2 linked regions of the Kluyveromyces lactis genome follow. The protein of the gene in region 2 interacts with the protein of the main gene of each other region in a pairwise test. Links are inferred from orthologs where the notes say so. Each region holds a gene or a part of one and is shown on either strand. Other genes may lie near its edges.

Region 1 (2,331 bases), on a different chromosome or scaffold from region 2:
CGATATCAGAAATGTTCCCTTGCCAGATGAATCATGTACGATCGTAGTGTTCTGTTTGGCGTTGATGGGAACAAATTTCCTAGATTTTATTAACGAAGCGTACAGAATTTTAGCTCCTCGTGGAGAACTATGGATTGCTGAAATCAAATCAAGATTTGGTGACGGGAAGGGTGAAGAATTTGTAAATGCCTTGAAACTACAAGGTTTCTTCCACAAGAATACTGATGACAGTAACAAAATGTTTACAAGATTCGAGTTCTTCAAACCACCTCAAGACATTATTGAAGAAAGAAAAGCGAAATTGGAACGTAGACAGAAGTTTATCGAAGTAGAGACAGAAAAGGAAGAGCTACAGAAGAAAAGAGAACAGATTCCAGAAGGAAAATGGCTACTTAAGCCATGTATTTATAAAAGGAGATAAAAGACTACCTTTTCGTTTTCCTTTGGTTAGAAGATGTATTATTCACATTTGTACGAGTGTCATTCCATTGATGTACCTAAATCTATGTACTTTTTAATAAATTTGTAGTTTTATCAAGACCTGGTGAAAAATGATTGCAATCTGGTCACTCTGTCGAGGTTTGCAAACGATGGAAGCATTGGAAGTTGGAACAATGGTGCTTCGGCTGTATGGCCAGGTTCCCATTGATCACATAAACGGTAAGCGTAAGCATTCCATAAATTTAAACCACCTGCAAAGATTACTAGTATCAAATACACAAACTGGAACTTAATCAAACATAAAAATCCAAAGACCACCCAAATAGTAGGAGCTACATAAAGTGACAGCCAAAATAGTTTTGAATCGATTGGGTTGATTGGGGCCGCCGCAACATCTGGATATTCTTTGAATGATTCAAATCTAAACGTCGTAGTGTCTTCTCCACTAACATCATACCACCATCGCTGTTGAATTAACTTTCTACCATTGATATTCTTCGTGAAGTAGAAGTCTGCTGCCAATGTTAAAATAACAATTATGAACTGTACTGTGGAACTAAGGAACCATGATCCTAACAAATAAAATACAATTGGCACCGCTTTTCCCAGAAGGTGGATCGTTAGAATCAAAGGATGAGAAGATGCCAAAATTGTCTTGTAGAAGTTTCTTGCTGAATCCATATCTACTATATCTCAATAGGCTGATCGATTTCCTTGACGGTATACCCTAGTTTGTATGAGTTTTCTAAGTCGTCTCTCTTTTCGTTGGTTCTTTGGTGTATTTTTGGTTCAAGACCTTTATTTTTCTTAAGGTCCGGAAACTCTGAAAGTTGCAGATTCATGAGAGAGGTATATTTTGCTGGATCTTTCATGGGAAATGATGGGCTAAGCACCAATAATTGTTGAAAGTTCATGGTGACGCATATCATTATAATTATAATTAACTAACTAAATTAAAGATTATATAAAATTATTGAGTTTGATTGTATATTAGTATTACCTTGTGTGTGATAGTATTCGGTAATTTTTTTCTTTGAGTCATAGAAAGAAATGAGTGTACTGAGAGCTGTTAGGATGAACTAGCATTTCTCTCTTCTTGAATTCATTCAGTTCCATTTTGATTCCGTCGATGTATCTGCTTTTTGACAATTGCTTCCGACTTTCAGGGAAAGCCTTATCAGACCTTAAATACTCCGTTGGTGAGAAAGTGTCATTAACGTATATTTCTTCATTAAATCTGCATTTTTTAGCAGATACAGGTGAAGATGAATCATTGGAACGTACTACTGAAGGAACTACTGCATTGAAGTGTACAGCTTTCCAATTTTGATGCAAATGTTCTATGATGCGATCGCTATGTGTGGTTTGCCCGTTATTATGGTGATGTATGAGTCTTCCTTGATAATCCTTTACCAGTAAAGGTCTCTTCGAAGAGCGCAAAGGTGGTTCAACGGTTGGTGGACTAATTCTTGTGCTTTCATTAAATTGGTTAATTAACGCAATATCGGAATTTTGTTGGTGTTGTTCAGACTTCAACAATAAAGAATCAAACACTAAATCGATGTCCATGAGATCTTTAAAACCATCATCTTCTATATCGTCTTCTGTTTCTAGATCAAGAAGTGAAGGAGGTTCTGCTGATTCAGATGGTAAAATAATATGCTTTGATGTAGTCGGTTTTGATGTAACCGCTTTCTGCCATTGAGTTTTAGCAGATACCTTTTCTTGAATGTCTTCCTTCCTGGCTTTTTTCTTTAAGGGAAACAGTTTTCTAAAGAAGGAACTCAATCTGGAGCTCGATCTCTTAACCGGAGAGGATTCCACTGACTTTTTAGCTTTCTCCTCTTTCTTCTCATTCGAGTTTCCTGATATAGGTATTTTTGAGACAAC
Region 2 (2,542 bases):
CAATTTGAGGGAAGAAGAAACGGCATATTCTACTGGAAAAAATTTTTTGAAAGTGAAGTTTGTATGGTTCTTGAATCGATGTGACAGCTATTGAAGCAGCTATTTGCTATGCGTATCTTGTATGCTCCTGGCTGACTAGCAGAACCCAAAATATCAAGAAGGGCCAACAACAGAAAAAAGGAAGATGGCTCCCAATTACTCAACAAAATAAACTCTGCAGTTTTCGTACCGAAACGTATTAGCACTGATACTAGACTATCGATATCTTAAGGTACAATCTGTGGTTGATGGATAATACAGCTTGTTCTCCCTCTTTTTCCTTTCACCGATGCTTTTGATCAGAATGGGATTCTGGTAATTCCTATTTCAAATCCTTTAAATTTCATCATCATTTTGCAGTAAAAGAGGCCAAGGGTGCAGCTTTTAATAGAAAATACAGAGGAGAATTAAGACAGAAAATGATAAGAGATAATTGATTGGTGAAAAGGTCCTTGTACTTCGAAGCATGTTTATATATTTATTTACAACAGGTTTATAAAGTGGATAGTTTGTTTTTTTTGGGTGCGTGCAATGCGGCCGATTCAACAAATCACAGATAACCAACCTAGCGTTACTAAACATAAAGCCAATGGGTATTTTTGAACCAAAGTCTGGGATTTCGATACTTTCCACATTGATATTATTGACCATGACGAACATAGTGCAAACGAGACGATTCTTGCTATCACTATTAGTCTTATAAGTGTAACTTTAGGGATCTTATTGAATAAAGGTAAGATAATTGAACATGCCAACGAATTGATCACTTGCGGGAACATGCAATAACCTGCAAGAGACAAATATGACATCCAAGACATTGGTTCATGTGGATTCAAAAGTTTCAAATGTGTGGCCATAGCACTGATCACCAGCCAACAAGTGATGAAAAACGAGGAAAACCGTCCACGACCCTTGGATAAGAACAACGAGTATAGTATAATGAAACATAGAGGGGCCCAGAGGTCGGTACCTTGGAAAACATGTTGATCTTGAGCACTTGGTGAACCCAATGGGAAATGTGGGTAGACTACTTTCTTTAATTTATCATTGATCTCATGGAAATCTCTTTTGAAAGTGGACACGATACTTTCATCTAACGTTCCTCTAGCAGAAGTGGATAAAGTGGAACCGTAACCGTTACCAGTCTCAGTTTCAATAAAATCTGGTTCAATGGTGTCCATAATTGGCCTTACTCGCTGGGATATGGTAATTAATTGTAAAAAAAGAATAAAATAGAGGTTTTTACTTATAAGTCAATTCAGAAGGAAGGCAACATGTTTTTTAATCCTTTGATACAAGCGTTATTTGTATCAATCAGAGATTGTTCACGCATAGTTATTCATCATTTGAGATTCGAACTGCCGAGAAAGTAACTTTTTTTTATTTGTCACAACTTCGGTTTTCTGGCAATTCGCGCAGACCGCCTGGTCCGCCCACTAAGCTACTGGGGGTTAATAAGAAGCAAGGTATTTCTTAGAGGCGTTTGCCCGTTATGTTGTGAGAGCCTATCACGAGACGTTTCCCAAACTGCAAGAATAAACATCCCCTTCGACCACAGTGCACGGTTCCATTACGCCATTCCAGCCTCTAGCATTTCCTGGTTCAATATCCTAAAACGACAACCTTGGGAGACGTGGTCATCGCTCATTGTTACCCTGGTTTCGTTCATAACGATTTCCCTCTTTCCCTCATTTTGGTCTCCCCTATATCATCACTATACATCATTTCTCTAACTTATCGGGTAGGGCAGAACCAACGAAGTGAGAACACATCCAAACCAACGGATTCTATGCCTTGGTGTTGCCCGAAATAGCAAGGTGCGGTAGCTTATTGTACGCCCTTGTTTTATTTACTATATGTATTTTTTCATGTATCCCTAATGGAGAATGTAACGAACTGCAGCCTGCCAGCTCTTTACATCTTGATTCTAATAATAAATATGGTAAACGAGTGGAAAGAGAAGAAGAGAAGAGAAGAGAAGAGAAGAAGAGAAGTAGGCAAAGAAGGCAAGGGACGTAAATGTCAGAGGCTGCGTGCGCGAGCTGCGGTGCGAAATGCTAGGCAGAATATAGACACTGCTACTGCTGCTGCGCAGCAGCAGTAGCAGTAGTAGTAGCATCTTTGCCATCGAAACCCGACATCTCTGAAATACCTAGCACCCTCCCGCTCACAAACAAAAACAGAACACAACCCATTCCATAACTAAATAGTACATATACGACACTTGGCAAGGCAACACTGGGCACTAGCCCCATCCCTAGCCCCAGTTGGTTTTCCAGTCCAATGCGAAGCGATACCAAGCTGACACTGCGACTTCTTTTCTTTTTTTCCCATATGAAGGAGAACAAAAGTGAAAATTGAGAATTGAAAACTTTCGGTAACGCTTTTTGGCATTACTTACAACTTGTGTTTTATTCATTGGGAAAACACGGTATTTTCAGTGTTTTCCTTCCCATTTGTTTCCGGGAAGATCATCAGTATTGGCGCCAGCTCGAGTCAGGTC

The links. The genes of interacting proteins can lie anywhere in the genome.
Region 1: the proteins of YIP4 (region 2) and TVP23 interact in a two-hybrid assay, tested with the Saccharomyces cerevisiae proteins (2 studies listed by BioGRID). The link is inferred for Kluyveromyces lactis from reciprocal best matches to the Saccharomyces cerevisiae genes YIP4 and TVP23.

What each region holds. Positions count from the first base shown.
Region 1 is NC_006039.1:1,019,881-1,022,211, forward strand, and holds TVP23 (Tvp23p), read right to left. Parts: upstream 1,123-2,331; coding exon 535-1,122; downstream 1-534. Other genes in the region: RRP8 (25S rRNA (adenine645-N1)-methyltransferase), read left to right, coding at 1-421; AFR1 (Afr1p), read right to left, coding at 1,480-2,331. UniProt on the Saccharomyces cerevisiae protein: Golgi membrane protein involved in vesicular trafficking.
Region 2 is NC_006042.1:1,156,485-1,159,026, forward strand, and holds YIP4 (Yip4p), read right to left. Parts: upstream 1,221-2,542; coding exon 582-1,220; downstream 1-581. Other genes in the region: KLLA0_F12452g (uncharacterized protein), read right to left, coding at 1-26. UniProt on the Saccharomyces cerevisiae protein: May be involved in proper membrane localization of Rab GTPases.